Drosophila melanogaster: one gene and its partner. Changing the gene in region 1 together with any one later gene gives a genetic interaction. Each region holds a gene or a part of one and is shown on either strand. Other genes may lie near its edges.

Region 1 (16,916 bases):
TCAGAGCTTTCCAGGCGCATACGCATGGCAGCGCAGCAAGGGCGAGGACGATGACCTCCTCGGCCTGATCACACACCGACAACACCACCCACTGGGAAATGTTCCTGTTATCGCACTAGTGGAGAGACACCTACCGCTGCCCTTTCCAGAGAATGAGAACTACGCGACAGCACTGATTTACTTCAGCCAGATTGCTCAAGCCATGGCCACAAAGGTGGAAACCGAATTATACCGTAGCCTTCGGGACACTCCCCACAGAACGATGGGGGCCCTTTACTGGCAGCTGAATGATGTATGGGTGGCGCCATCCTGGTCCAGCATTGATTTCTACGGCAACTGGAAGGTGAGCCGTAATTTCATATCACTAGTCCACCGCAGCATGACTGCTGGTATTCATACCATTTTCATACATAGTGTAAAACAAGAAAAAAAGCTAAAAGCTAAGCTAACGCTGAAACTCATATACCCATGCAGTAACAATACGCAATATAGGCAAAATTATATGTGGCAAAAAAAGCTTGTATACACCGAATTAGAACACATCATGGAGAAAAACAAAAAGCGTAGAATTGGAATACCTGTTACTCGTAGAGTAGAGGGGTATGCTAGATATGCCAGGTAGAGGGAAACGTCTTTGACCCCAGACTACAAAGTATAGATGATGTTTGTTTCCAAATGTATAGCCATGTTGTCTATATCGCTGCGATGATTGCCTCTACTATCTTTCATCTACTATTCTTCTACTCTACTATTCTTTCATCGCGGGGCAAAATTCTGAAATCAGTAAACGCTCGGCAAGGGTAAAAATACACTACATCCGTTGAAAGATACAAAGAATCGCTTTAGCCGTTTTTCTCTGCCAGTCCGTCTGCCTGCCCGCGTAGTTTAAAATTTGACTGCAAAATTGATTTTAGTGACGCTTAAGCAGTTCAAATTTGGGTTAAAAGATTACCCTGTCAGCTCTAACACACATAAGGCAAAGAACCTGCCGCGGCCACATTTGTTAAAAATGTGTAATTTTGATAAGGTCATATATTTTTCGTACCTGCCGTAACGGAGCGTAACGGGGGTATTGACCACCCCCGGACACAAATTTACCCTATGCCGATTTGATAAAATATATTTAAAGACCGTTAGCGTGAATTTATTATGCTTATCGAGGGGAACTATGCAACCGCCACTGGGTGGATATACAACCACAAATAGGAAGCTTGTACGGAGTCCGAGGAACAGTTATATCTGTCTCGTATGAATGAAGCTATAGGCCCTAAAAACATTAAAATACTACTTTTATTTGTATATTATAAACAGCCATTCCTTCCTTTAGCTGCTCCATTACTGGGCACGTGATTTTCTAGCGCCTATTTCAATCGTTGCTCTTTACGAAAAGTCCACGGATTCGTTAAACATCTCCCTTATTTGTGACCAATTGGAGGTGGACCCAAGGGAACTGAATGTCGTAGCTAACGTTCACCTGTGGTCCCAGCTTCTGCCTCGGCAGTCCACCTCCTGGGATGTTACCCTGCGCCCCAATGGCGTGCAGTACGACAAGGTCATTGCCATCTCCGATCTGCTGCAAGGAGAGTTCACCAGAACTAACGCGTTTTTGGAGCTGCAGTTGCGCCGCGGGCAGGATGTGATCTCTAGGACCCACTTCTTTCCCAGTAGCATTGCCGGAGCAGTCGGAATAGAGGACCCCGGGCTTGAGGTGAGTAACCCAGTTTTGGAATGCCTCCAGCCTAATATCTAACTGTGCAGTTCGAGATTGCCTCCCGTACCTGTCTTAACACCACAAACGTCGTCCGCAACAGCGTCAGCATTAGCATACAGGTGAAGCGCCCCGCCGTATTTGTATACCTAGAGCTGCTCAAGCCATACCGCTACACCCTGTCCGAGAACGGATTTATGCAGACTGAGCCAATGCATGTCGTCTACCTAACGTTCGACGCACCCTTGTGCGCCCGCCTTTTGCGCAAGTCGGACCTCCGTGTGCTGACCGTCAACGACTTTATGAGATAGTACGGAACGTCTTCATTGACAACTTTAAATCAACGTTTTATAAATAGCTTAACAATATACAATTCAATAAATAGCAATTAGTGTTGAGCACCAAACACCAGTGGTTCTGATCAACTCCACACCTATCGGTCGAAACTGGGCATCTGTGCCCTTGGCGGCGTGTAACCCTCTGGATATGGCACCAACTGATTGTTCAGGACGCGAGCATTGCGCCAGGTCTTCACCTTGTCCTCCGCGCTGTCCGGAACTCGTACACCCTCGATTAGCGTTACAGCGGGGCCTTCTACAACACTTTGGATGCCGTGGCCGATAGGGTTGTGGTGTGGACTCCCGTGGCCGCCAGTTTGACGGCGCGGGATTGCGGTCGTGGACGTGGCAACGCCCGCACTGGCCGTCACTACTACAGAGTGTGGCAAGTAGGTCACGTATTTAGACTTTTGCGGTAGCGAGTTGTAGTTGTGCTTGGTTATGAGGTTGTGGGGACGGTGTCCCTGATTGGACACACTGCTGATATAGGCCCTAGTATCCCTTTCGCCCGCTAAGTACTCCTGTATGTCGGAAGCGGCGAACTCCGTGTCCCTGGAAGAGGAGAGCACAGGTCGATGCGACAATCGCTGCAATCGTGGCAGGATCTCCACCGAATCGTCCATGTCGAATGGTGGCCAATGGCGATCTGCTGCCAACGAAATGTTCTTGCGGAAAATTTTTGGTGTCTGGGTTGGAAGCTGAGGGCGGTAGTTTTCCCAGGACACGTCAACAGCGATCTGGCGACCACGGCGGAAGTCCCCCTGCACTGCCTGGTGCTCTATCATCTTGTTCTGCGCCTTGGACAGCTGCAGCTGGATAAGTTTAGCTTGGCGCTGCTCCGCCTCTGCCTTGCGCTGGTGATAAGCGCCCATCTCCTGAGCCAGTTCACTCTGCTTTAGTAATGCAGGGCTGTGCTGAAAGGTGATCTGGCGACCACTAGCGTTTACCCTGCCTGTGGGCGGTACGAGGCGCCGCTTGACATCCGCGCTTCGCACGAAAAAGGACCCTGCCGCATCCTCGGCGCGGGCCTTGCGACTGTTTTTCCCGACCAGGATTTCTACATCATCGCCCGTGCTGGACTTGAAGTTTATCACTCGCACCTTAGAGGGGTCAAGGTTCCGTCCAAAGCGCAATTCCGTCCGAACTAGGGCTGGCTTTCCGGTTACGCTCGGGCCTTCGTCTATGCGCGATAAGGATATACAGCTTGGCAAGCAGACCATAAGAACAATAAAGGATTGCCATCCCGAGCAGCGTGGCTTTGCCATCCTCAATATAGTGGCGGACGCTGCAAAGATAGCGCGATTAGTGATTTGGTTAAAAATTTGGCTTGATGATTATGTATGCAAAAAAATTGTATAACTTGTTGGGTGTTTGAAAGATACGTATGATGGACATTAAAATCGAATTTCTTATTTTGCCAAAATCTCTGAGGGTTGCATTCCATATAGTAACGATGAGCATGCAGGGTGTGGTGTGCGAGGCAATAACCCCCTGATATAAACATATAGCCGTAACATTAGCATCAAATTGTTGTCATAAACTCAGGGGAAATTGGAAAAATTAACATTTTGAAAATTGAACTATTTAGCCGCTGAAGAGAACGGTCCAATATGATTGCACTATTGTGTAGTAGGCTGCTCCTTCTACCCTCTTCCTTTACTCTTAGTCATACATACCTAATTATACATAGCCAATCTAGTCATAAGCTTATACACTCATACACCCATCCTTAACATACAAATATTATCGAGAAACTTATCGACTAATCGACTCGCCACTCTGCAGAGAGCGCGGCAGTCAGTCGCTGTTGAACCAAGCTAAAGGACAGATCAAAATAAAAGAGACACGTGAAATTGTATTAGAATATTAACTTCTGTAAACGGCGGCTAAAATCTCAGAAGTGGGATTAATAATCCAAAATGGACGATAAAATCATCCTGAACGACTTTTCGCTGACAACCCTAAAAGATTGGCTACGTATTCTGGGCCAAAATACGGAGGGCACAAAAACCGAATTAATCGCGAGGCTGCAAGACATCCCAACGGCAGTTCGGGGCGATTGTCCACCGGAGCACCCCCAGAAAAACGCTCCACCAGGAAACGACATTTTTTCTTCACTGGATTTTCAGAATTGTGAAATTAACACCGATCACGTAAGTGTGAATGCGATGAACAGAAAAGAATCAACCGAAACTGGCAGTGAGAGGGAGACAAACATGTTCGAGCTACAGCAACTACGCGCAGAGCTAGCAGAAGCGAAGGCAATGCTTAACGGAACACGATCGAGCTTGCAGTTCCAAGAACAACAACAACCAGAGCAAAGCAAGGCTACAGTTAGTTCCGTTATCCAGACGGCGCAGTTTACGCAGGCTGGCGCCACAAAAGAGAACACAACATTTCACTCGCCGCAGCGATCCAACGAGAGAGCGGAGAGCCAGCGTTTTCCAGTTGATGCTCTCGCTCTCGCCAAAGAGACGATAACCGATTACGATGGGAAAACTTGCGCGCGTGCCTGGATAACAGTGGTCAAAAATATCGCACGCACTTTCAACATCGATGACAACCATTTACGCATCTTACTCATCACTAAACTTAAAGGAAACGCGCAAGTCTGGTTACATGCGCACCCTGCTCGATTGATCGAACCAATTGACAATTTGCTTGATCAATTGTCATTGACTTTTGGCGAGCAATCATCCAAGGCTGAGATCCGGCGAAAATTCGAGAGTCGCAAGTGGAAAACCGAGGAGAATTTCTGCAGTTATTACGACGAGAAGATGGCTCTCTCAAACGGGATAAACATCGACGACGACGAACTACTGGACCAGATGATAGAGGGCATACCGCTACAAAATTTCCGTACCCAAGCACGGATTCAATGCTTCTCTACTCCATCGGAGATGCTACGCGCATTTTCGAACATCCGTTTGCCAGCTCGGAGGGAGCCACCTGTACAGCCAACCGACTACAAAGATGCCATACGATGCGCAAACTGTAATTCAAGAGGACACAAAGCTGACATCTGCAAGAAGCCCAAACGTGAACCAGGTTCGTGCTACGCCTGTGGACAACTTGGACACCTGGTGGCACAATGTCCCACAAGGAAGAGCGTTTCATCTAATAATTATGTAAGATGGTTTAAAATTAATTTTTTTGAAAATGCTTATAAGCCCATAATTTCAGAATGCCTCATAGACTCTGGCAGTCCTATATCTATCATTAAAAAGTCACTTATTAACGAGACAATGAAGTTAGCCCTAGTTAATACTTGCTATTTTGGTTTAAACAACTGTATTCTCAAAACACATGGACAAACCACATGTTATGTATTGAAAGGATCAATAAAAATATATTTTCGTTTAATCATTGTTTGCGACCAGTCTATGAGGTATAATGTTATTCTCGGCAGAGATTTTTTAACTGCATGCAATTTAAATTTAGACCCGTACACCTTGGGAATGATTGCGTTGAGAAAACCCATGGAAATAAACAAAATATCAATGTTTACTGAAAATGATAGTCCTGAGAAATCTTTAGAAAATGAAATTGTTAGTCCAAAATCGTTAGAGAATGAAATTGTTAGTTCACAATCGTTAGAAAATGAAATTGTTAGCCCCAAATCGTTAGAGAATGAAATTGTTAGTCCAAAATCGTTTAAAAATACAACTATTAGTCCGAAATCGTTAGAAAATAAAATCGTTAATCAACAGCATAAAGAAACTGGTCCAATATCGTTAAGAGATGAAATAGTTAATCAACAAAAGAATGTCAGTAAATCAAAATTATCAGAAGATGAAATTGTTAACACTTCAAAAGAAATCGTTAGTTTTAAATTGCCAAAAGATAAAAACGTTTACGAACAATTAAATCACAACTTTGATAAGGAAGTACTAAGAATATGTCATGTAACTGAAAGTGAGTTAGAATACAAAATAGGAGAAAATGTTAGCAATAGGTTACAACTAGAATTCGATAGGTTGTTTAGAAATTTTTATATAAATGCAAAAAGGCCAAATGAACCGACAGTTAGAAGTGAAATACAATTGTGTTTGAAAAACCCGAAACCGTTTAGCTGTTCTCCTAGGAGGCTTTCATACACAGAAAAAGACAGGTTACAAAAACTATTAGACGAATATTTGGAAAACGGATTTATACGACCAAGCGACTCGGAATATGCATCGCCTATTGTTTTAGTGAAAAAGAAAACTGGAGACTTACGTATGTGCGTCGACTTTAGAAAACTTAATAAAATGACAATGAAAGACAACTATCCTCTACCTCTTATAGATGACTTGTTAGATAGAATGAATGAGAAAACTGTTTTCACCAAACTCGATCTTAAAAACGGTTTTTTCCACGTGCATGTTAAAAAAGAATCAATAAAATACACCTCTTTCGTTACACCATTAGGCCAATACGAGTGGCTGCGAATGCCATTTGGCCTCAAAAACGCCCCGTCTGTGTTCCAAAGATTTGTTAACAAAATTTTTGCTGATATGATTAGAGAAAACAAAGTAGTAGTATATATGGACGACATTCTATTGGCAACCGAAAATATAAACGAACACTTAGAAACGTTGAAAGAAATTTTTAAAAGATTAGTTGAAAATAAACTTGAATTAAGAATAGACAAATGTGAGTTTATGCAATCGAGTATAAAATATCTTGGGTTCATAATAAATAAAGACGGCATAATGCCCAATGACAAAGGAATCGAGGCAATAAAAAATTTCCCAATACCTAATAATGCTCATACAGTACAAAGTTTTTTGGGATTATGCTCATATTTTCGACGGTTTATAAAAGATTTTTCTAGACTAGCTAAACCATTGCATGACATTCTAAAAAAAGATAAACCGTTCAAATTTGGTAGTGAAGAAATGATTTGTTTTAATATGTTAAAAGATAAATTAATACAGTCACCGGTCTTAGCTATATACAACCATAAACACGAAACAGAATTGCATTGTGATGCAAGTTCTTCTGGATTCGGTGCTGTACTTATGCAAAAGAAGGAGGACCAGAAATGGCACCCAGTTTCATTCTTTTCAAAACGGACAACAGATATTGAATCAAAATACCACAGTTTCGAGTTAGAAACTTTAGCCATTGTTTATTCGTTACGTAGATTTAGAGTTTATCTTCATTGGAGGACATTTAAAATAGTCACCGACTGCAACTCATTAATTTTGACCCTAAGCAAAAAAGAGCTAAACCCTAGGATAGCCAGGTGGGCTTTAGAATTCCAAGGTTATGATTTTGAAATTGTGCATAGGGCAGGTAGCCGCATGCAACATGTTGACGCACTGAGTAGGTGTACAAATATTATGGTAATACAAACAAACAGTTTCGAAGATAATCTAGTTATATGTCAAGGGAAAGATACAAAATTAAAAGAAATCAGGCAATTGTTAGAAAACACAGAAAATAAATTGTATGAGATGAGAAATGGTATAGTTTACAAAAAGACAAATGAAAATAGATTGCTGTTCTACGTTCCGATAGAAATGGAAGAACAAGTGTTATACAAATATCACAACGAACTTGGACACGTAGGAAGAGACAAAATGATAGAAGCTATAATGAAAAACTATTGGTTTCCAAATTTAAAACAGAAGTGTAGCACACATATCAGCAACTGTTTAAAATGTATTTCATTCAGTCCCAAAACAGGAAAAACAGAAGGATTTCTACACAACATACCTAAGGGAAACAAACCTTTTGAAATAATCCATATTGACCATTATGGTCCAGTAGACTTGGCTAGACCGAAGAAACATATTCTAGTGATAGTAGATGCATTCACAAAGTTTGTCAGACTATACGCAACAAAAACTACGAACACAAAAGAAGTCATACAATCGTTAAATGACTACTTCAGAGCATACAGTAGGCCTAAGTGTATCATATCAGATAGAGGAGCATGTTTCACGTCTGGCGATTTTGACTCATTTTTGAAAGAATGCAATGTTAAACACATAAAAATTGCAACAGGATCGCCACAAGCCAACGGTCAAGTTGAACGTATAAACCGAAGTCTTGGTCCAATGATTAGCAAGTTAATTGAACCTGATCAAGGTCTACACTGGGACTTAGTCTTAGAAAAGGTCGAATATACCCTGAACAATACACTACACCGCAGCATTAAACAGTATCCTAGCATAATGTTATTTGGGTTACAACAAAAAGGACAAATTATGGATGAGTTAAAAGAAAAAATTGAGGAAATTGGAGAAACGATTGAAGAAAGAGATTTAGAAAGTATTAGAAATAAAGGCGAGGCAAGTCAGAAAATAGCACAAGCATACAATAAAGAATATGTTGACAAAAAACGAAAACGATCAGGAGTGTTCACAAAAGGCGACTACGTCATGGTTAAAAATTTTGACTCAACAACAGGCATAGCTAAGAAGTTAATTCCAAAGCATAAAGGACCCTATGTCATAAGCAAAGTTCTCAAAAATGATCGCTTCCTTCTGGAAGATGTTGATGGATTTCAAATTTCTCGCAATCCTTACCGGGGTGTATGGAGCATACAGAATATAAAACACTGGCAAAGAAAAATTAAGAGTCTACAAAATAGAAAGTATAATTTGAGAAACTCTGTACAAAATAGAAAGTATAATTTGAGAAACTCTGTACAAAATAGAAAGTATAATTTAAGAAACTCTGTACGAAATAGAAAGTATAATTTAAGAAGCAATTGTAAAACAAAGAAAACAAACAAGAAGAAAAGAAAACCAAAAAAATGTTTAAGACCGTTCAAAAGTATCTCCACTAAGAAGAATAAAATAAGAAACAGGACCCTTAGCTTTAAGAAACGTTAATTGTTATAAAATCCTACGATCGGGAGATCTAGTTGTCAGGACGGCCGAGTTGTAGTAGGCTGCTCCTTCTACCCTCTTCCTTTACTCTTAGTCATACATACCTAATTATACATAGCCAATCTAGTCATAAGCTTATACACTCATACACCCATCCTTAACATACAAATATTATCGAGAAACTTATCGACTAATCGACTCGCCACTCTGCAGAGAGCGCGGCAGTCAGTCGCTGTTGAACCAAGCTAAAGGACAGATCAAAATAAAAGAGACACGTGAAATTGTATTAGAATATTAACTTCTGTAAACGGCGGCTAAAATTGTATTTTTTCTTATAACACACTTCAAAATAATTTCAACAGCCCGTTCATAAGGTACTAAAAAAAGATTTTACCATCCCTTTCGATGTGTTTTTTTCGATATAACCAGTCTCTGCCATCCATTGCTTTTTGTTTGTGCCGCAAGCTTCCAGTATTTATAAATTTCTGGTATCAAATTTCTGACGATAATAATAATAATATAATAATAATGGTTTTAATAAATTTATTAAAAATTAATTAAACTGGTTTCTTCCGCAACTTAGCTGACTTGGTATTAGAAATTAGGCGATAATCAACAAAAGTGGAAAACAAAAGTTAAGAATAGCTGTTAAAATAATGACGATTACCCGCTTCAGTGCTATTGCAATCAATATCCAATAAATAAGGAATGCTGGCTTAACAGATTTCCCGCGTGTTCTCAAATAAATTATTTACAGGCCAGGTATGGCTGCTCCTCTGCAGTTTGGCTGCTTTTGCGTGATGTGCTGGGTGCGTTGGGCTCAGAAAGCGAAACACCAAATAAATTGAAACTTTCGTTTGCACGCTACAGTTTTTACTTTGACGGAAACGATGCTGAAACGTCGAAAGCCGCATTTCCTGAGTAACAACGTGCTCTACCTAAGATCATTCATCTTCTGGTCGAATGAAACTGGAAAGTTCAACATTCAAAACAGAAGTAATCGATACCATAATTTGCATTAAATGAACCACAAATGAGAGATGAAAAATAAGATGATAAAGATTCGTCTAGAGATCTTTCTGTCTTTCTATTCTGCTGGGTAACGCTTTCTGTGAGCGGTCAATGCGACGATTACCGGCAATTCGATTTTCTCATCGGGCGTTGGCAAAGATATTACGCATACGCCTCGGTCACGCTAACGACAATCCAATAAGTAACTAATAAAGGAAAATTGGCCGACAAAAAGCTGAAAGAAACAATTAGGAAAATTGTAAATTGCGTTTTCAACTCAAACGCGGCCGCTAAAGTTCACGTCCGCCGCTACTATTGCCGCTGACAATGGAGCTCTGGGTGGCTAACCGAGCATTGCTCGTCGACGCAAATCGCTGCGCTCTGCTCGGCAAAACTTTCACTTTCAACTCGACTCGGCCAACTACATCGCTTTGCGCCTCTTCTCCAATACTCCTGCCTAAATCCACGCTATCGCTTCTTCCTATGACTTGGCTTGCTTGCAGGTGGCCATGAACCCTATTCCTAAAGATTACGCGGTCAGCAAATCGATTTATTGCTAGAAATCGGGACAAGGGCACAGCAAATACCTGTAAATTCTTTAGTGTTTTTCTTTGTTTCCAAAACATAGTTGCCAATTTTTCCATGATAAAATTGATTAGTATTAACCGATTTATTTTTATTTAATGATTGCAAAACTGTGCTACTAAATGCAATAGGTAGTCTTAAAATATTTCGGAATATCGACAGAATCTGGCAAGACAATTGTGTTAATTGTTCCCGAGACGAGATGTCATGCTGGCCAAGGTACTTCCTTAAATTGAAAATTAACTTCGCAAGACTAAACGTTATTATCGCCCTTTGTTCAAATTTGTCATGCACATAGAAATAATTACTAATTGTGCTAATAGCTGACACTTCAAATGAAAATGAAACATTCATTCGGAGGTTTATAATTTTTAAAGAAATCGAATAAAATGTACTCCCATTTGGACAAAACAGAATTTGTTTCGAAGAGCTTACTTTTACAATAGGTAGGCAAGCTTTACTTTCATTAGTATTTCAATAGTTTTTCGGAGAACCATTTTAAATAATTCTGAGAACACACTAGGCAAACAAGATAATTATACCACCTAATAGACCATGCTCATTGACAATCTCGATCGCATACCGATTCGACAAAGTTACCCTAAGAGCGTTAAAACTAGTTCCGAACTTGAACTGTACGGACTTTCAGGACTCTTTTCAGCCGTTCCGTCCTCTCCGGTCGGGAGACTTTGACAGAGTTGACACTGCAGTTAAATTTGGACAGCGGTCCGTCTTTTGGGTCACTGCTTACCGCTAAGAATTACGTCACTAACGCCATCTGAAGATTGTAGCGATGAGTAAGAGGCGGAAGCCAAGACATTCATCTCGAGCGTAGCCCACTGTTGCGGTCATAAGCGTCGCATAACAGCGGCTTGGGGACGAGTGATGAAATTTGAAATGCAGTCTGCACTTATAGTTTCCCTTGATTCGATTCGAGTCATGCAGAGAGCGATGTCTTTTGCATTCGGAATCCACTTAATCACGGGCTTACAGCCACGTTGCTTAGAATAGCTGCCCCGGCGAAACCAGCTCTCTCTGTGACCTAAAGAGGGGGAGGCTCAATTGGGCTTCCATTAACTTCTTGGGGCCCCTGTCAGGTGTCAATCAAGTCGAGTTTGCTCTGCAACGCGTCGGATATTGTGAGGCGGGCATACAACAAAGACTGAATTTAAATGGCGGCCACGCCTGCAATCGCTCACGCCTCCAGCTGGAGAGGTTGAACCCAAATCAAAGGGGTCGGTGGCACAAGTACACTGCGAGAATGAATATGATTCTTTCGGGGCTCAGCTCATACTTCAATTTACACGTCCCAGAGGGATTTGGACGTGGCCAGGGCTCGACCGGTACAGATATTACACATCAGCACAGCTACTTGGTGCTCCCCCTAACTCAGATTTTTTCCCGTGTAGCCCGCGTAGGCAATCGATTGTAATCGACGACGACGACGTTTTCTGTGCCTGCCAGCTGGTGCAGTGGCTGTCGCCACTGCCATGTGCGAAATGCAAATGCGAGGGGCGGCTAACGAAGCTAGTGCTGACTCGACCCGTAATATTTTACTTTTACTTTTTATGATTAACATTTCCCACCCAAGGTGGAGGGCCCAAAACGAGCTCTTTACTTATCCACACATTCGTATTTTCGTGGCGGACGATGCGCAATGAGATGAGAAATGCCGAGATCGTAACTTCCAAGATAGCTCGCCGCCGCGATGCCCAGCGTTAAATTATGTTTTTGTCTTTTAATTAACATTACTCGTGTTAGTCGCTTCCCTGCGCCCACCAACCCCCTCCCACTCGCCTCCCTTCTGGCACCGCTCCCACCTACCTACTTGGCCCTGGGTGTCGCAATTGAAAGTGAAACTCTGTTTCCTTTCGACTGCCAGTGGAGTCACAGGTTGGTGGGCCGATCTGGTCTCTTTGGGGGCCAACGCACGAGCTGAAGTGTGAAATGTGAAATGTGTCATCGTCTGGAGTGCGCTGTCCCGAGAGCGGATCTTCTAGGGCTTCCAGACTGAACAGGTTTCGTTGCGGTAGGTCGTACTAAAAGTCTGACACTGAAGACCCTCAAACCAGCCGGCTCGGCAATGGTTACCCGGGAATTACTTAAGAGTCGTATCAAAAGCTCAAAGTTGCGGTGGCCAGGTACTGTTATTGTACCAGCTTGATTGATGAACATCAAATGGCAGATAGTGCGCATACGCACCGTGTTACGCCAGAGACACTCACATTTCTTTAACCAGAAGCTCGATAGGACTTTCAGGGGTGGGCAACGCTCTGCCTCGTCTTCCGCCGAACAGGATGTGGTTCTGATGGTGGGACTCAACGTTTAGTTTCTCGCCAGCGGAGGTGATTTGAAAGCGCGACAGATCGCAGCGCGAACCGAAATACAACTGACGGTGGTTGAAAAGTTTTGCTTGCAAGTAAAAAAGCAGCGAGCTGGAAAACGGCAGAAAAAGTAAAATTATTATGTATACACATGTATGTTTAGAGGCCGATGGCGCAGGCAGCAGCAGACCGAGCGCTGCCAGCGATACTCAGCCAGAAAGCCAGAAAGCCAGACATACGGCAAAGTGGAGCTACGGATCCCGCCCGGTACCGCCCGAGCCCGTCTGTGGCTTCCCCCAACCGCCCCCCAACCGTCCTCCATGCTGCCCAATCGGGCCCAGAGCCGCCAAAGCCGAGGCTAAAACCATCTCCATCTCCGAGCCAAACCAAGGCGAAATTGCTCTCGGTATCAGCAACATTAACTGCGACTGAGTCGGTAAACAAAGCCAAAGCACGCCAAAAAAGAGGCAGCCGAAATGAGCAAGCAATTGCGCAATTGCGTCGCTGCCAGCAGCTCCAACATCAGCAGCAGCGATCGGTGCACAGTGGTACAAGCGCTGTTGCTTGATAGGATTGTGCCGATTAGGCCAATAAGGCCGATTAGGCCGACTAGGCTTCCGATACCTCCTCATATACTAGTGCGAGCAAAGACACTAGAATATTCTAGGGTCTTTGGTGCGAGCGATGCAGCATACATTTTATTTCACTGCTTCTCTTATCTAGAATAACTAAGTTTCTGGGAGTTTTCAAACGGAGTCCCACAGTGCGACGGCGTGCGGCTTCGGAGCTGTTTTATAATTTTTTTGCGTTTGTTCAATCTTGTTTCTTATTTTTGGGCAAGCGGCTGTATCTAGCTTGTCACTCAAAGGAAACATCTTCACTGTCTACCGCTAATTCCTCGGAATTTCAGCCAAACACTGGCTTCCTTTATCCATTGGGTGGAGGGATGTGGGGGAACATTGATTTCTATAAAAAACGAGTAGAATATTTAATGACTACCAAATAGAATATAGTTTCCAAAATTAAAAAATAATTCTAATGCTTACGAGAGAATAAAAAAAAGGTAATGACAAATAACCAAAAGTATCGCTATGGTTGTGCGCCTATTATACTAACCATTATAAATTGTTAAGTAAATAAATAAATACATACATATGACTTCAGTAATACTGAATAAAATAAATGTGTGGCTCGAAGAGAAGGTTGAGTGCACTTTTTGGTATTAAAGAGCAAAACTTATTCCAACTCAGAAATTCGAAAAAAGTTTACAAATGAGGCTGAATTCATACATATGTATGTAGATTTTCAAAGAATTTATTTTTGTCATTTACATACGTAAATCTTTTAATACGTGTTTACTGTGTTGAAAAGATAAATAACGGACTGAAAAAGCGGGGAAAAAGCCACTTTCAAAACAATCAGTGCGCCAATTTGCTAGAATTGATTCGAATTCGACTAACTCTGCTGCTAAGATCAAGGAATTGGTCGGAGTAAAGGCGCGATCAGAAATGCAGAACACCTGAAGCGTCTAAAAATCAAGAAAAAGCCCCTTTGAATGCATCACGCAAGGAAAGCGGCTTCAATTCGCGAAAAATATATATATTCCAATCTGACACTCGACTAAATGATTGGCGTTCAGTTGTCTTTACTGATGAAAAACTTTTTTATTTAGATGGCCCTGATGGCTTTTAATATTATTATCACGATTTGCGGAAAGATTAGCTATATTTAAGTCGCCATCATAACGGAGAAGAGGAATAATGACGTGCGGTGCTTTATGAAACAATTGACTTGATTTTTATCGACCGAAAGATGAATGGCGATCGCTTCAAAACATTGCTGGAGTCCGTATTTCCAAAATTTAAAGATCTCTTTCGACAAATTCCTTGGATTTTTCCACAAGGCAATGCTCGTATTCATTATTTCGAGTCAAAACGTTAATATCATGACCTGGCCACCATATTCTCCAGATCTTAACGTAACTGAAAAAGTTTTTTCGGGCTGGCTAACATTAGAAGGTATACACAGGAGAAAAGCAATACGAATATAAGAAAACATTAGCAGAGCTATTTAATATGCTTTGAGCGAAATTTCCTTGAAATTTCCATCCTAGATGTCTTGTACCAGGCTATAAAGGACCGGATTTATATAGTTATTACTAACAGTACTCATTACTAAAATTACTTTTTTATTTAAAAGAAGTGAAATAGTAATGCCAACTCATAATTTAACTTAAGTGGATCTAATACTTTACTTATAAAAATTAAAAAGACAAAGTGCGCCTATTCTAATGACCAAGAAAATTTCGCCTTATGTTGATTAAGTATGTATTTTGTTAAGTATGTATAATCATTTGAATATTAAATTGATGTATCATTAAATATGAAATGTTCTTGCATATCAACTTATTTTCGATCGTCAATTAATAAATAAATATGAAGCAAAGTTGTATGGAACTAAACATGCGTTTAACTTAGGATATGTATATATATATATATATATATATATATATATATATATACATATATTATATATATAAATATATAAATATATTTATATATTTAATTTGAATCGGTTCGTGGTGCGTTTCCGTGAGCTTAAATATTCAATTATTAAGTACAACATTTTTACCAAGAAACATTAACATTTAGATTTGTAAGTTTTGGTACGCGTAGTGACGAATAGCACCGATAGTGGAGTGCACTGCAATATTTCCATGCTGATTGAAACTGCAGAAAGTAAAAGTGAACATTTTTTAATAATTTTGAAAAACTAAAAATATACTCTTTTTGTTACATTCTGCTTGAATGCACCGTGCCAACTATTCCTTGTGGTTCAAATAACAACAGTGCGAAAATATTTAAAATATACGTATTGGCTTTGTTTTAAAACCCTCCAAATGACAATAAAGTAAGATTAATAAATGTTAGAATTATGTCTACATTTAAATATATTTAACTGGTAGCCATACGATTGTAGAATCTGCTCTTTCCCGCTTACAGATATACTTGTACTAAGGAAGAAGAAGGCTTTTGGAAAGTTTGCAACATCCGGATGGGCAGACACGAATGTATGTACATATATACTTTAAATGATTTAATATACCCTCAGCAAGAGAATAAAGAATATAGTCATATATATTAAACATATTTTTAACAATCGTAATTGTTTGTTTAAGATCTTAGTCTTATGAGGCCAGTTTATGGTCATGGTTCTATGGTGCACTAAAATTTATTTCATTTAATATATTTTTAAAACTCAAATAACATCAAATAACAACAGTCATATGTGGGGGAACTAATATATTATTTATAATATGAGACCCTTGGTCACTTCATAATCATTCGCAGCCTAATAGGTTCAAGGGCCGGCGCCTCTCACTACATATTTGAATCTTAAGTAAACAGAGAAGTAATTGCTGTGTGCGCTATCGTTAAAAAAAAGTGGTTTGAAGAACGATTACAGCCGTTGGTACATTCGTAAGTGGGATAAGATCCAAGCAGTCGCATCATCGCCCGTACCAGACCAAGGGAGGCCACAGTTTACTGCCAATTTTCGCCATATTCATGGCGTCTGTGCTGCTGGGCGGGGTCTTAGAGTTAAAGGCTTTTTAATTAACGTAAATTTCACTTTTTCATTAAACATGTAACATTGCGAGGCATCCACGGAACATGACAACTTGAAGCGTGAGAGGAAAGACCAATATTATCTGCCGTAGAAACTGAAGATGCTCCTGTCAGCCAGCTTCTTTGGCGTATACTGCCACGCATCGGACCTAGACCCCACCTCCAGTGCTTCCTGATCCTGCCCCTGATCCTGCAGTGCGTCGCGAACGAAGAATACTCCTCTGGCGCCAAAGCGCAGGCAGCTGAAGCGGTACTCGAAGAACTGGCTGGCCAGAACTTTAAAGACCACCGACAGACATATCTGCATGTTGCCCTCGCCGAACGCACGGATGTCGTAGAGTCTGAGGCAGCTGGAGAGCGGCAGCGGCACGCAGTATTCGGGCGGATTTCGAGTCGAGAACCCGAAGGTTGCCACCTTGCGCTGGTTTATCTCGACGCTGAGGCGCAGACCTAGATCCGCCCGGGTGTAGTCGAGGGCGGCGCACAACCGCTGGTTGGCT
Region 2 (16,916 bases), on another chromosome or scaffold:
ACAGATGCGGTTAACTTAATAGCACAAAATTATTACTTATACAAATAACAAAATACTTTGAAGTCTTTAAGTTTAATGCGTAACGTTCAAAAATTGAAAATCTATCGAGTACTTTTTTTTCAATTACTTTTTTCGTTAGAAGACTTTCTTAATCAGAAAAATATTTGTTCGCTTTGTTATATTTTGTGTGACCACATCTGTATCTGTATCCGAATATATCTGGTTGTGATGACGTCTCCGCCATTTGGCAGCCATTCAGCTCATTCTGTTCGCCTCACTAATGTGTGCTCCCTCACCCACAGGCCACCACCGAGTACTTGGCCTTCGCGGCTGTCTCCAAGCTGATCGCAGCGGCGGCCACCTACCCGTACCAGGTGGTCCGGGCACGGCTGCAGGACCACCATCACCGATACAACGGCACCTGGGACTGCATCAAACAGACTTGGAGGTACGAGCGCATGCGAGGTTTCTATAAGGGCCTGGTGCCCTACCTGGTCCACGTCACGCCCAACATCTGCATGGTCATGCTGATCTGGGAGAAGCTGACCAGCTAGATGGAGTATTAGTACTAGATCATCGAATCTGGAATCTGACAGAGAATTTAAGCTAAGCACCTAGAATACACGAATCTTTCTCGTTTCCTCCGATGTGCAGCTAACAGCAGAAAATGACAAACTTATTCTGTATTATTGTTGTAACTCGATTTCGGTTTAGCCCTAGCACCTTACTTTAGCCTTAAGTGTATTCCATATCTAGTTTATTGTACATCCTTCACTCCCAACTTCGAAAGTAACTGATGTGATCGGGGCGTCGTCAAAATAGCCCCTGCCCATGAAATGTAATTTCAAAAACGCATTTCTTGCACTCTTCATCAAAACAAACACATATTTAGTTCTTAGTTTAGTTAAATTATTTATTCTATAACGGCTTGGAATTGTGTAAGCACAAAGAAAAACCAGTTACTGTTTAGTTGATACAAAATTTCGTTTTGGCAAAAAGATTCTTCATAGTTTTTGAAAATGGTTTATAATTTTAAGGATAAACCTTGACATTTATGTAAATAAGCATAAACGCATTGTGAAACCAACTTAGTCCTACAGTGGAACAATCTTATTGAAATCAAAGAAAAGATAAGAAATGCGAAATTACTTACCCATATTAAAAGGCCACGATGGCAGACCTAAATGAAAACCAAGAAACAAACTAAAGCAAACACTGTCAGCGCGTCCAGCCTGCGTCTTTTCATTTGTCCAAGGGCTCATGGCAGCTTGAGTAAGTAGTCCTTGCTCCTTCCGCTCCCTAAGTCTTCGATCACCCCCTTAATTGTGCAGAATCTCTTTGCTAATCTGAAACAGCCAATGCGCCCTTACTGTAAGTAGATGTAGCTTTCAGTTCTCAGTCTCTAACCGCATTGTGTTTGGTTCTCTTTGCAGGTTTGAGGGCTACAGAGGCTTCTACAAGGGGCTGAAGGCGAGTTTAACCCGAGTAGTGCCTGCCTGCATGGTCACCTTTCTGGTGTACGAGAACGTCTCGCATTTCCTGCTCGCCAGGCGGAAGCGAATTGAGACTAAAGAGGATGCGTCGGACGTGTGATTTTCCTTTGGTTGGATTCCTTTTAGGCTTCTAAGATACATATATCACCTCACGACATTTCCATATGTCTCTATAGTCAGCGGGCAGTTGCAATCGTGCTGAGCATGCGCAGCTGCTTTTAGTTTAAGTTTAGTTAGTTGTTGCGAAGACTTATTTGGTCTTTTCGTAGTAAGTAAAGTGATTGTTGTTCCTAAGTGTGGATCAGAATGGATTTGTGATTGAATTCAGACGAAAGTGTTACAATATACCTGTGAAATATAAGTCCATAGCCTCACTCTTGCAAATAAACCAAATCTTTGTGAGCCAAAGAATGCCTTTTTCTGGGTGTGATATCCTTGTTTAAATGAATAATAATAAAAAAAATAAACTATCTGGAAAATTATACCATCTGGCATCTTTATAGATCGTGTAAGCTTTGCAAAAAGCAACCACAGTGGTATCCCTCTAGGAGTAGTATATATTTTTATATTTGAATTAACGCCGCTCTAACTTAAAAATCGATTTACCGCCAAACGATGCGGATTTCAATCTAGTCCGACTCGGAGTCCGTTTAACGGTTTTCTACGTAGAGCTTTTCGCAAAGCTCTCGCTTTCGGATTTGTTCGTGCGACAAAGTTTTCCTTTTGTTTTCGGTTCAGTTATAAACTGAAATTACTGGAGGTCGGACGTCTCGAGGCTCGGAATCACTGTTGTTGTTGTTTTGCGCCGTCTTGGCTCGTGTTGTTGTTGTCTTGCGTAGTATTGCGTGCCTGGAAATCGAACGTGTGTGAATTTAATTTACGATTCGTATAATTATCAGCAAGAGCAAACAATATAAGTTGCAAACGACCGTTTAAGCCCTATGACACTAAGATCCAAAGTAAGTGGCTACCACCGAACTGTTCCATTTGCATTTGAAACCAGTTTCCAGCGATTCGAGTGCATGAAATTGTCCAAAAAAGTGCAACGGTCGAGTTCAACAAACCGATCGATTGAGATAACACCGCAAATATATAGCTGTGAAACTCGCAAATAAATACCTACATATTCTTCTGATAAGTTCAAGAACAGTCTAGCCATTGTTTACCGTTAGACCAGAACCACATGTTGCTCGGGATCCGCGTTCCGAAGAGCGAGAGTTATACGTCTGTGCCTGGAGAGGGCCACTAGAGCGCGTGTGAACGACCTTGACTGGGCGGGGGCGTTAGATAACTGCGGAGAAGGTCTAAAGATCACACTCACCCACCCCGTATCGGTGGTTGCATGGCAACCGGCGTCATCCAGAGTAGCGTTGTCTCCACCTCCGCCGGACGCCAGAATATCTGCGACTGCCTGGAACAGGAGTCCGCCGGATTGGTCAAGGCCCTGCCCAAATCCAAGTCGGCCGATCAGCTCTCGGAACTCACCTGCGCCTGCCTGCGCTGCCAGTACCTGGCCACGGATCTTCAGCATCCGAACACCCAGTCCGGTCACCTGCCCGTGGAGCACAGACACCGACCCGTGAGCTCAGGCTCCGGTTCACTGGGCGCCCTCAGCGCCAAGGAGTCGCCCATCTTCGTGCGCCGCCAGATCTGTTTCCCGTCCGCGGAGACCCAGCTGCATCCGCCGCTCAGCTCCTCCCAGTTCTCGCTGCGAAGTGCTTCTCCGGCCTACGCCGAGCCCAAGCCGGAGTTGGATCTCGGCGCCATAGAGGCGCTGCAACTGACCACGGTCATGCCCGCGGGAGTCAACCGTAACCACATGGACATCAACAGGAACAACGGATACCTGCACAACGGAGTAAGTACCTCCACCATAACCCGCAATGGAAAGTGTTTGCCTACAGCCGGCACGTGCCAAAATGTAATGTGGGGAGGAGGGACATACTTTAAACAATTAAAAGGGCGTGAACCCATATGTTAGGGATCAGAATGCACCTACATTCATATGTACTTGGTAATTACTGGTTATTATTTTTAATTTGAAAAAGGAAATCTTAAATAGTGAAGCATTAGCAAATAGTCATAGCACACCAACTTTCATGCGATTTTAAATTGGCGTTAAATGATGACTTTTCAAAAAAAAATATATACTCTTTTTTTTGCAAGTGTGGGAAATGCCCAAAAATAAGTTGGCCAAGTGTTGCAATGGCTTTCGCTATTTCGCCTCGTCAGGCCGTTAACACAACCAGCTTGTACTCATTAGCCGTTTTAGTTGCTCAGAGAACTTTGCGGAAACCCACCAGATGGGATTACGGAGCGTGAATAATGCACGGAATGTGGAATATCGCAATGGGGAATATCACAATGCACTGATACAAATAATTACATTTTAATTTAATTTCATCTAAGGATTTTTCCACGAACATTCTAATTTCCCTATTGAAATAAATATGAATCAAATTTAAGGCAAGTTCAAAAGTCCATAAATTAACATTTATATTTTAATACTATCTATACTATAGATAAAAATCGAAGCTTTTTTTTATCAGTGTACCCATTTTATTACGTTTTTCCACCCACACTACAAAATGAATTTCCCTTTCAGAATTAGTTTGCTTCTAATCTTCAATCGACCGATTGCCATTTTCCCAATGCCAATTTTACCAATTAAATGGTAATGAAATTACAATTGCTTTTTCATTGGATACCCAGCTCAGTTACAAGCCAGACGATAAAATCAAAACAATGTGAAGCGGGGCTACGGATATGGTCATACTACACATTCCACATAGAAGGGTCGGATTCGGGGACGGAACCATGTGGGTGTGTTGAGCTACTTAAGTGATTGCCGGGTTAGCCGGCTATAGATATCCGCTACTGTTGAGAAACTATAATGCGGATTGGAAGGAGGTAGGCTACGGATTCGGTTCATCAGACATAGGCAAAGTCACGTTTGAAGGTCAATTATGGAAGCAAGCTAGGAAAGTGTGGGCTCTTTAATTACTGCCTGGCATTTCCAGCATTTCCCATTTACACATCGCACATGCATGTAGCTCGCTCGATGAATCACAAGGTCTTATTGCATTTCGGCCACTATCTAATCAGGGCCCTCTCGCCTCCTCTTCCTCCCCCTTTTATGGGCGACTCCATTGCGTGATAAGATATGAGCTGGCACTACACTCCATGCCACCCACCGATAATACGCAAAGCAGCGTGTGCAGAGTCCATTGAGGGATCGCTGTACGCCACTCGCAGAGCATCCTCCTTATGTAATCGAGCTCCAACTCCCTCGGCGCATCGCTGGCCAAGGCAATGCACTCCACTTCACTCCGCAGTGTTGTTTGTGTGTCTTTACGTTTGTGGCCGACTGATTAATTTACATGACAATTGCCCGGGCAAACTGATAAGCATATGTACATATGTACATGCATGTACATATTTACTATGGTAACTGTAAGAGTATCGCTCTGCCGCCGCAGTATCGTATCACGCAATCCAGGTTGCCAATCTTAAAATTCCAATGCCAACTATCTTTGTGCACGCAGTCTCCATGTTTATCAACCTGCGATATTTTGAGGTATTATATTTAAACGAATGCTTTGAACTTTGACAGTTAAAGTACATCGCACTGAACTAACTTTCATTAAATAAAATTCATATTATTTATACGTAAATGTCGTACTTCAACAATTACTTAAATCATGGACTTTTAGTAATCAAAATAATTTTGGTTTTAATAGCATAGTATTCCTTATCAAATTGACAAATATTTGCAATAACTAACACCGCCGTCAACTTGTTATTCTACTTTTTACACTTACATATCAGATTTTATTGCATACTTTTGGGGTTCAGTTAGAAACCTTCGGATTAAACGACTGAAAATGGGCTTAGCCATAATAGTACTTTCCCAAGCTATCTAAAAAGACAGGTGTCTTTAGATTCGCTTGATTTTACGCCTGCCGTGATACATGCAATCCCAGTAGTTTCCATTCCAGGAACTCATTCACGTGCTCACTTCCTCTTGTTGAGCTCACTTGCACGTGATTGCTGGCCGATGCGGGTGGGGGGCTCCTAGCCACTGCCATTCGGTATCCGATTTACGGAAAAGAAGTCCGTGCAGGACTTCGCCACATCGGGGCATCCGTGTGGCTTTTGTTCGGAATGGGGTCGTCAGGGGGCACTTGCAGGCGCCTGACTTTCAGATGGAGGCCGAATGCTTCGCATAGCTCTTCTGTTTTCTGTTTTCCGGCTGGATTGCGTGTAAACATCTGCGGGCACAAAGGAACTCTTCCACGTTCGACATTTATGCGAAAGTGAATTTCTAATGCTTTCGGTTTCCAAGGCACATTATGGTTTAAAAGCCCTCTGCTCCGTAACTGGAATTTTTAAGGCTTGAGAAAATGTGTTTGCTGTAATCTCCCATGAATTATGTAAGCTGATTCGACTGTTGACTTGTCCCCGATTTCAGAATGTGCAAATCGGTTAGGCTACAGACAGCGCTCTTTATGGTGAATTACATTTAGAACGCTTTACTTTACTGTGCAATCGCATTGATTAATGCCTGGTCTAAATAACCAATAGCTATTAGTTTATAGGAAAATATAAGTCATCAAAGAACAATCACTTTCAATGATGTAGTGCTCCAAAAGAAAACGGCTTTCAGAAAACAGGATGGATAAGTAGTAATCTAGCAATATTGCAAATGGGTTGTTTTAAAGGAATCTGAAATGGTTACTAACCCTAGTGATAAGCATAAAGCTAATCAAATATAGGCAAATATTGTTTTTACCAATAAATTATTCTTTAATTTAATTTATAGTCAAACTATAAGTTCAAAAGGGTGTTTGGTAATAATACTATACATTTTTAAAAGTATTGATAACTACCCCACTGCTCAATGATATCGCAACCGCAGCAAAGTGCCTGTATAAGGAACTGTAATATCTAATTAAGTCAGATCTGAAGCAACTTCCGTACATCTGTAAGATACGATCTATCCATACATACATACATACATATGTGTGCCATCCCGTTTGCGTTTCGGGTTATTACTTGGGTAATCGTATATGGGCCACATATCTCCTTCCCTGTCGCTCTGCTCGATGCACTGCGGCTAACCACGTTTTGTAATAAGCGTAATTCTATATAGTCACGTCGAGCAGTAAGTCGACAGTCGGCCAAGACAGCGGCCAATCCGCCAGATTGATGTGTCGCCCACTTAATGCCGAGCGACTCTTTTGGGACAAGTTGATGCGGCAAATCCTCAGCTTAAAGGAAGCCCGCCAAGTGCGGCGGAGCACGTTCTGGGTTGCTTGGAGAGGTCAGGTCCAGATATGGACACTGGGCGCCCTGCTCCACTGGTTGTGCCGGATGATTGGGTGCTCGTCATCGTAGCATCACGGCATCATGGCATTATGCATTACCTCGATCCAAATTATAGAGCCCAGTGATTCCGGAGCAGGGCTAACCAGCCGGACAACTGGCGTCGATTATGGCGGGCCACCGGACACTGGCCAATCTTTGTCCGGGGATTGCTTGATAAGCGGGTGCCAGCCGTCCAATCGGCCCATTCAAAGGCCCACCGGCTCTTCTCACGCTCATTTCGCAAGCGATTTGGAGGCGGCAACCAGTGTTGGTAAGCACCTGGCCAGCTATAGCGATTTTCGTAACTGTAATGCTAAACCTCTCACCACAAAAGGGGATGGTGCGGGGGCGGGACCAACGGGGCGAATACAAAATTTATAAAAGCCTAGTCGTCGGCACTGGGGATTTTAGTGCGCGTTCGTTTAGTCTGGGCAACGGTTGCTTAAAAAAAAAAAGCTCGAGGATCGTGCAGGATCAGGACTGGAAATCAAGCTGGAGCAAATGGAATCTGTGTAGAATCGCTAGGGATCAACAGCGTCAGTTGAAAATATGCCCAACGTGGACGAGCAGCGGGGAAAAGCAGCTACAAAGAGAGCGGAATCGGAGCAATCGGAGGAAAAGGGTGACCGCCAGGAGGGGGACGGGGATCCGAAAGACGAGTCTGAGGAGGCCACCGCGAAGATCAAGGGCCGTTCCCGATTCACTGCGGCTCTGCGAAGCCTCTCGAAGACCAAAACCAAAAGGGAAAGGGAGCTGGATAAAAGCACCGACAGGGAAACACGCAGCGCGGAGGAAGAGGCTCAGGAAACCCCAGGCGAGCTCGAAGACGTGGCCAGCTCCATCTCCACGGACAGTGGAGCCCTCGGCAAGACCAAGAAAAAGAGCCTGACGCGCCGCCTGCTTCTTGGAGGCCTGAGAAAAAGTGGGAAAACGCCGAAGGGGCGGCCCCACAGCTTGGCGACCAGCGACGACATCAGCGTGGAGCACCTGGAAACAACACCCCTGCCATCGCCACCCGGTTCGCCCACCTCCGCCGGCAGCAGCACGCTGCAGATCACCATCAGTGGCAAGAAGGTGGAGCCATCGCCCGCCAAGAAGAGCGGCAAGAGCAGACCCAAGAGCGACACGGATTATCTGACACCCGCCGCAGAAGAAAGGAAACCGAGAAAGAAAACCACTACCACCACCGTGACCACGAGAGATACGAGCAGCAGCACCCGCACCACCAAGCTGCTGGTGTCGAAGAAGAAGCCCCAGAGCCCCGAGAGAGAGTCCCCATCGGCGTCGCCGTCGCCGCTTATCACCACCACCGAGAGCACGCGCGATACGCCGCCCAGAGAACGGGCGCCAGCAAAACCAAGTCGCGTTCAGTCAGCCAGCGGCACCGGAGCTGTTCGCAAGTCCCAATCCTCGAGCGCATCCAGCAGGAAGCTGGAATTGATGCAGCAGCAGCAGCAGCGCGGCCACCGCCTCAACGCCAGACCACTGGCTGAACTAGCGAACACGGAACCCCAGCCATCAGGGCAGCAATCCCTGGACCCATCCACATCCCCTCCGGCGGCTGAGGACGGAGTCTCCTCGGCGGAAAGCGCCCAGACTATTGCTAATCCCCCGCCCGTTGTCCGCTTTGAAGTGGGCAGTGCAGTCAGGAGTCCCTTGAGTGCCTACGAAGCCGCATTGGCCGCCGCCGCCAGTCAACAGCCCAACTCCAACGAAGAGCTCAGCGACTCCAGCATCCGGCGTCTCAGCTTCGCTCAGCAGCAGCTCATCCTCGGCGACCACGACAGCATCGAGGGCAGGCGGGAAACACTGCACTATCAGTCGGTGGCTAGTGAATACTCCAACCAGGACTCCGGATCCGAGGACGATAGCGAGGAGCAGGCGGATACCACAGAGCCAGAGAACGCCAAGCCCATGCCGGCCTTCGGTGACCTGACCATGGATCAGGAAATGGAACCGGTAAGGTCTCGTCGTCGTCGGATTGCCAATTCGCCAGTTGTCATTTACCTACGAAGAAGCGAAGAAGCCCCACAAGTGATATGTTGGCCCCCTTATAGTGTGTGTTCCAGAGTGTCATTCAACTGTGCGGGCGGCGGGCGGTGGTAATAGCCCAGGGGGTCTCGTCAACTAACCAGCAAATCTCAGTGCGGATTGACGAGCAGCAGAAGGTGTAACTAATACCAGGCTTAGAATTTATTAAAGTGGTGAATTCTCACTTCCTATATTATATATTGATATGCTTTTATATAACTGAGTGTAAACGTGCTATGATAGAACAAACTTTACTACTTATTATAATTCGAAATGCACGGATTATTTATATTTGTATCTTGAAACCCAGAGCCCAAAAGTATGTATCTCTTTATCTTGAGATTTCAAGTCACAAGTGGGATTTCATTGTTTAGTGTATCAAATTTATCAAACTATTCTATTAAGCATGGATCGAACATACAAGTAACTCTCATCCAATCCTTGCTTGCAGGCCATCATGACATCCACCAGCGATAAGCGCGAGCATCTGTACAAGATTCTAGTCATTGGTGAACTGGGCACCGGCAAGACGTCCTTCATTAAGCGCTATGTGCACCAGTTCTTCAGCCAGAACTACAGGGCCACCATCGGCGTGGACTTCGCCCTGAAAGTGCTGCAGTGGGACGCCAATACGATAGTGCGCCTCCAGCTGTGGGATATCGCCGGTCAGGAGAGGTTTGGCAACATGACCCGTGTCTACTACAAGGAGGCGGTGGGCGCGTTCATCGTTTTTGATGTGACTCGCAGTGGGACTTTCGATTGCGTGAGCAAGTGGAAGGAAGATCTAGACTCCAAGGTGCAGCTGCCGGACGGCAGTCCCATTCCGTGCATCCTGCTGGCCAATAAAGTAAGTGATTGCCTAAAGGTTAAAGGAGACCGCATAATTTCTATATTATGTGATTAATACGTTGCTCATCCGTTTTCCAGTGCGACCAGGAAAAGCAGGGCATCATAACGCAGCCCGAGAAGATGGATGAGTATGTGAGGGAGAACGGATTTGCCGGTTGGTTTGAGACATCCGCCAAGGAGAATATCAACATCGATGAGGCAGCTCGTGCCCTCGTGAATAAGGTGATAATCGCTGCTAATGCCCAGCCAAAGCCCCGCTAATCTTCTTCCACTCGCCCGACAGATACTCATCAACGATAAGCTGATATCTGCCGATCTGGCCGATGGCGACAAGTTCAACTTGAGCGCGGCCGATGCAACCGGATCGGATGCCAAGAACAAGTGTTCCTGCTGACCTGGGACCGAGGTCCGGCGACTCCTATTCCCATTCCCAGTTTAAGAGCGAGTTTCAACACAGAAACGCCATGTGCCTACGTCCACTCCATGTTCATGTTGTTAGAAGATAGCGATAACTATGCTTAGGGTTTTAACGTAACATTTGTCTAAGACTTAGTGTCATCCGTATCATCCCGTCCGTCTTTATCTTTAACACCCCGTCTGTGGGTCCACAATGTTGCGCCGGCATCGGGATCCGTGTCACTTTGAGAATTTATATGGTGACACATAACATACCTACGCATACGAAACATTATTACTATCACCATCATTGCCCTAGTTGCGAGGATTAGCCGGAGGTAGTGCAGCATCCGTATCATAGCATACTACATTTGTGTAAAATGCGAATCGTCTTATTGTTTTGTTTGTTTTATTTGCCTCTGCTGGCGAGATTGTTTTATCTTGGAATTATTATTCTCGTATGCAAACACACTCTGCCATCATTATTTGTATTTAGATAACAATACGTACGCTTAATGCAATGCGAAATCAGAAATAAAGTTTTTAATGGTAGTTAAGTTCAGACGACGTGTTTTATTGGCTGAATAAATTCTGTGTAAGTGCTTTTGTGATACAATGAAAATGTTATGCTACTAGTATTTGCCTTCATTGAATCACTGGTCTTTGTAAATAAATACGAATAAAAGCTTTGTTTTTACATTTCCTTTTTTAACGGTAAAAAATCGTATCCCCAACCGGCAATGTTTTTCTTTTTTTTTAATATTCAAACTATCGATAGTTATCAACTATGGTATTCCTTATTGTTTAGTGATCACATATTAAACTTAAAAATAATGATATACAGATAAAAGTGTCGTGCGTTCATATTCTACATAAAATTATTAGCAATTATTTAATCGTTATGAAAAGCGAAACGTATAAACTGGTAATTGGTATGGGAAAAATTGGGAAAAAGCTGGAATCAGGTTTAATTGCAATTTGGTTTTATAAAATGTTTTATGGCACAAACAAACATCCTGACTCAAAAGTGAATTAAGCTTGAAACTTAAATACTCCGAGAATACCGTGAATATGCGTTTACCAATTGCTGCTGAACGGGACCACTATCGATAGAACCTTACAAACTATCGAATCGCTGCAAGACTATTGCCATCGATACTTGCACCTCTATTTATTAGTGTTGTGTAGCCGTGTTACTGCTAAATTGTTTATTGCAAAAATTCCGCAAACGAGAGATATTAGGAATAGAAGACAATATAACAATTGGGCAAAATGTGTTAGATGTTTAAGGTAAGCCACCGCCAGGGCTGCAGCTCGGCGGAGCCGTATCCAACGGTCCGCGCTCTGGGGGCCGCAGCATTCCGCACTCGTCACGTTTACTCCCCTTTTCTGGTCTTTGTTGGGGCTCCGTTGGCACTTCTGCTGATAAGTGCCCAAGTCGACTTAATTAATCAGTGCCCTGGAGTCGGGGGCAAGTCAATTGGATATTTGGAAACCGCTGGGAACGTGAACCAGCTGCGCGCCCGAAAGACCAGTCATGAATTGCCGCGGCTCTGATTTGACTCCCGTTCCCACACTCCATATCTCACTCACTTTCAGTTGCTGACTAATACTGGGTGGAAGGTAATCAGTTGGAATCGTCACAAGAAACGATGCTGCCGCCTAAGGAAAACGTCGATCTGGAGTGCTTCCTGGTGACCAAGCACTCCTGGAAGGGCAGGTATAAGCGCATCCTCTCCATCGGCACGGCCGGCATATCCACCTACAATCCGGACAAGCTTGACCTGACTAACAGGTGGTCCTATTCGGACATCGTAGCAGCAGCACCCTCAAAGACCACAAATGTGAGTTTATAAGATCCTACGGAGAGCTCGGAACTAAATAAATTGATCTTTCAGATACCCCATGACTTCGTGATTACCATCAAAAAGGATAAGAAACTAGATACAATCAAGTTATCGTCGGAATATCGGAACGATATCCTAAGCTCTATATTAAAGTACTACAAAGAGTTTGCGGACAAGCCGAAAAATGCTCAGGTTGGTTTTTGAGTCTCGCTTTAAATCCTATACTAATTTGGAAACACTTCTCCAACATTTCATGTGTGATTCAGATGTTTCTAATTAACATTTAAATATGCAATATGAATTCTAATCTGTCAAAATTTTAATTTTGAATACTATCTAAATTTTGTAGCGCTTTAGTGCTTACAAATACCACTGGTCGGGCATCAGTCTTCCCACAGTACTGGAGGTCACGCCCTGTTCTCTGGACCAGCTCGATCCCACCACCAACGACGTGCTGGCCAGCTATATGTACAAGGATATCGAGGGAATAATAGGTAGCTATGCACATTCGACTCGCTTGCATCAATTAATGTGTCTTGTTTTGTCCTCATGTGCCTCAATTACAATTCAATATGATCGCTCCGTGTTTTGTTCTTTTTTTTATTTTTGGTTACTTGCCGCACTCATCTTTCTTCCGCACACGTTTTAAGCAGGCATCTCGGACTATGAGGGAGGAATCGTGATGGCCTACGGCGGATTCAGTCGCCTCCATTTGTTTAAGGCGCTGAATCACCACGAAATCGTGCAGAACATAGCACAGAGATCGGCTCAGTTTCTGGGCATCGAAACCAAAATACTCAAGAGTCAGATCACTCTGGAGCAGTTCGAGAGGCAGCGGTTCGGCAAGTTTAGGTAAGTTCATGTGAAACGCAATAAAGAATTTGTAGAAAAAAAAAGCCATATAATATTTCAGTGGTGACCAGTTTCAAACCTCGTCGACCGAATTCTCGGTTCATAAGATAACGCCCCGCCATCCGGATCCGGTGAAGCGTATACTCTGCCTCACCGAGGTAACGCTGCTGGAGCGGGATCCTCAAACCTACAGCGTCTGCACCCTGCGTCCGCTCACTGATGTGTTTGCCTTAGTTAGAGACAAGGACAATCTTCAGCGCTTCAGCATCGAGTACAAGAATGGAATCGTGCGCAACTACAGCACCAACGACCGCGACTCATTGTTGGCCACTGTTCTGGATGCTGTCCGCTCCAGTGGCAATCAGGATGTGCACGTCCGCATTGGCAACACGCCGCGAGGGAAACGGTATGTGCCATTGAACAGCTCGGTGGACGAGGAGACGGAGGCGAATTTGATGCGCCTGGTTATCAACAATTTTCAAAACCCCTCTAAGCGGTATGAGATCTTGGAGCGCTTTAATGCCAATGTGCCTCACAGTGGCCTCAACTACAGTGTAACTCAGGATGTAGGTTAACCTAATGCTCGGATTCCGGTTCAACCTAACTAATGTTTCGTTTCACAGAGCTTGTTTGCTGAAAACAAAGATAAACTTATCCTGAGTGCCCTGCAAGCGTTGGCTCAAAAGGAGCTGGACAGCCCTACGGCCCAGCTGAGCAACTTGGAGCTGGAGGCTATCTTTCACGCTCTTACTCGTCTTCTCGCTAGCAAAGTTGGATACGCAGCCTTTACGAATCTCCCGGGGTAATATATTCTAGTTTCGTACTAATAGCATTGTTAATGTTTGAATACATTTCAGCTTTCGTGAGATTATCGGTACAAAGGTGGTGGCTGCTTTAAGACGCAAGGATTTGGCTGTGACATACTCCGCCATTGACATGATTAACTCGCTAATGCATTCTGTGAATTCTGACCATGATTTAAAACAGGAGCAACTTAACAAGTCATCCATTCTGTCATCAAAATCGTTTCTGGAAACTTTGCTCAACATGTGGACAACCCATGTGGTAATGTAACCATTCTAGAGTGCGGTCAATTCGTTTTGTAACTATTTATGATTTCAGAGCCATGGCAGTGGTGCTCTGGTACTCTCAGCCATGCTGGACTTCATGACCTTTGCCTTGTGTGTGCCTTACAGCGAGACCACTGACGGCAAGCAGTTCGATACTCTGCTGGAGCTGGTTGCCGATCGTGGACGCTATTTGTACAAACTGTTCCAGCATCCCTCGCTGGCGATCGTGAAGGGAGCTGGATTGGTGCTGCGGGCCATTATTGAAGAAGGCGAGCTGCAAGTGGCTCAGCAAATGCAAGCATTGGCTTTGGATGAGGCTGCGCTGTGCCGCCACTTACTGGTGGCACTGTATACGCCCTCCAATGATCCCACACAGACCACGCAACGTCAGTTGTCGCGGCATTTGATCGGGCTGTGGCTAACAGATAGTGAGGAGGCCATGGAACTCTTTAAACGCATATTCGTGAGTTATTCGAAATGTCCAATTCAATCAAGTTTGTCATATTATTTAAAATTACCAGCCCGCTGGCCTGTTAACCTTTTTGGAATCTGAGGAGACTGTTCCAGAGTCGGATGTCGAGGAGGACAAGCTAAACTTTCGTGACAATCTCAAATTTGCAATACAACATTCCAACAAAACTCGCAAGAATGTGATAGAGAAGCATTTACAAGGCATTAAGCATTGGGGCATGAACCTAATTGAGAAACAGGACGGAGCGGCTCAGGCGCTAAAGAATCGCCCTGTTGTGCTGAGAAATCGACGCCAGAAGAAAAAGACATCTGATGTTGTAGTGAATCTGCCCTTCTTCTTTTACAGCTTTGCCAAAGATCACAGTCTCCCCAATTTAATATGGAATCACAAGGTATTCATACATTACATTTTTAATATTAATTGATAGATTCCAATAAAATATTTTCGCAGACCCGCGAAGAACTGCGTATGTGTTTGGAGAATGAGCTGCGGCAATTTCTTAATGATCGTGACTTAGCTGGTCAAATGATTGTGGCATGGAATTATCAGGAATTCGAGGTTGCCTATCAATGTTTAGCTGACGAAATTAAAATTGGTGACTACTACATTCGTTTGATACTGGAGAAGGACGACTGGCCGCAAAATCTAGTAAAGGATCCGTAAGTTTCCTTAATTGCTTTAGTTAATTATGGATGTAAACATAGTTATCTCTCTAGGATTGAACTCTTTAATGCATTGTATAGACGTGTGTTGTGCCGACAACGCGTAAATGATGACCAAATGACGGTGTTTTCCCTCCAGGCTTTGGCTAAGGTTTACCGACGTTACCACGCCGAGATTGGCAAGTTCAACGATATGTCTTACATTCTGCAGCTCAGTGATAGGGTGAGTCCAACACAAAAATTTTAAGTTAGGGCTCTCCATTAATACTTCACGTCCCTTTAGTGCCTTTCACCTTCAATGCGCGATGCACTGATCAACCTAATATCTTGCCTGGTGCTAGAGAAATCGAACAGTCGAGCCCTTATCGATCACGTGCAATGCCTAGTAGATCTCATCACTTTAGCCCATTTACACAAGGGACGGGCGCAGCTCAATACCAAAACAAATGTTATTGAAGCGGGTCCCAATATGGGTACATACGAAGAAAAGGATTGGTACTACAACATTGAGAAGGATGGCCAAAAGCCGGAGCGTCAGGGACCTATTACATACTCGGAACTCAAGGAATTGTGGCAGAAGGGATTAATCACACCAAAGACCCGATGCTGGGCTATTGGCATGGATGGTTGGCGATCGCTTCAGCAGATCCCACAGCTAAAATGGTGTCTAATTGCCAAAGGCACACCGCTTTACGACGAGACTGAATTGTCCTCAAAGATCCTAGACATTTTGATAAAGTGCACTAGCTTCTTTCCGAGTCGCACCCAAAATGGCGTGGCAGTTCTTATTCCAGGTCCAAAGTTGTCTCGCAAACTTTCGGAGTTCATCTGCTTGCCGCATGTGGTACAAGTTTGCCTTACCCACGATCCCGGATTGCTGGAGCGCGTAGCTACGCTGCTCTACCAGATTATGGAGGACAATCCGGAGATGCCTAAGGTGTACCTAACGGGAGTCTTCTACTTCATGCTCATGTACACAGGTAGCAACATTTTACCTATAACTCGATTCCTCAAGATGACGCATATGAAGCAGGGATTCCGCAGCGAGGAGGTAATAATTTTACATCATTTTTTACATACATGAGGATGTTGATCTACATTTTCATTTCATTGACAGACCTCCCAGTCTGGCATCATGCACCGCAGCATACTCGGTCAGCTTCTCCCCGAGGCTATGGTATGTTTCCTGGAAAATTACAGCGCGGAAAAGTTTGCAGAAATTTTCCTAGGCGAGTTTGACACCCCTGAGGTGATATGGAGCTCAGAGATGCGACGTCTACTAATAGAGAAAATAGCGGCGCACATCGCAGACTTTACGCCTCGACTTCGTGGACATACAATGGCAAGGTACCCGTACTTAGCCATTCCAGTGATCAGCTATCCACAGCTGGAGAACGAGCTCTTCTGTCACATCTATTACCTGCGTCACTTGTGCGATACCCAAAAGTTCCCCAACTGGCCCATTTCTGATCCCGTACAGCTTCTAAAGCACACACTCGACGCTTGGCGCAAGGAGGTAGAGAAGAAACCTCCTCAGATGACTATCCAACAGGCTTACCAGGACCTAGGGATCGACCTTACCAAGACTCCTAAGCCAGATGAGTCGATGATTCGCAAGAGCTATTATAAGCTGGCGCAAATGTATCATCCCGATAAAAATCCGAATGGTCGCGAAATATTTGAAAAAGTTAATCAGGTACGTAAATGGTAATCAACATGGTAATCCATTCTAAAATTCAACGGTTGTTTTCAGGCGTATGAGTTTCTTTGCTCGCGGAACGTGTGGAGCTCGGGTGGGCCAGATCCCAATAATATTGTGCTGATACTTCGCACACAGAGCATACTCTTTGAGCGATATCCGGATGGTAAGTGTTTCC

What was found.
Region 2: of aux (region 1) and Rab32, changing one enhances a phenotype caused by changing the other (phenotypic enhancement), as found in Drosophila melanogaster (one study listed by BioGRID).

Annotation. Positions count from the first base shown.
Region 1 is NT_033777.3:4,202,455-4,219,370, forward strand, and holds the start of aux (auxilin), read left to right. Parts: upstream 1-9,328; 5' UTR 9,329-9,358; intron 9,359-9,453; 5' UTR 9,454-9,461; intron 9,462-12,668; exon of another isoform or gene 12,669-12,860; intron 12,861-14,989; 5' UTR 14,990-15,113; intron 15,114-15,792; 5' UTR 15,793-15,860; intron 15,861-16,008; exon of another isoform or gene 16,009-16,495; coding exon of another isoform or gene 16,496-16,916. Other genes in the region: beta-Man (beta-Mannosidase), read left to right, coding at 1-343, 1,328-1,708, 1,759-2,019; CG14636 (uncharacterized protein), read right to left, coding at 2,142-3,311; CG31516 (uncharacterized protein), read right to left, coding at 16,496-16,916.
Region 2 is NT_033778.4:9,171,652-9,188,567, reverse strand, and holds Rab32 (Rab32), read left to right. Parts: upstream 1-7,269; 5' UTR 7,270-7,409; coding exon 7,410-8,819; intron 8,820-9,221; exon of another isoform or gene 9,222-9,342; coding exon 9,343-9,738; intron 9,739-9,818; coding exon 9,819-9,962; intron 9,963-10,023; coding exon 10,024-10,134; 3' UTR 10,135-10,704; downstream 10,705-16,916. Other genes in the region: CG8026 (uncharacterized protein), read left to right, coding at 303-448, 1,434-1,593; Rme-8 (receptor mediated endocytosis 8), read left to right, coding at 11,789-11,980, 12,035-12,175, 12,333-12,477, 12,634-12,835, 12,897-13,401, 13,459-13,637, 13,693-13,900, 13,958-14,368 and 6 more.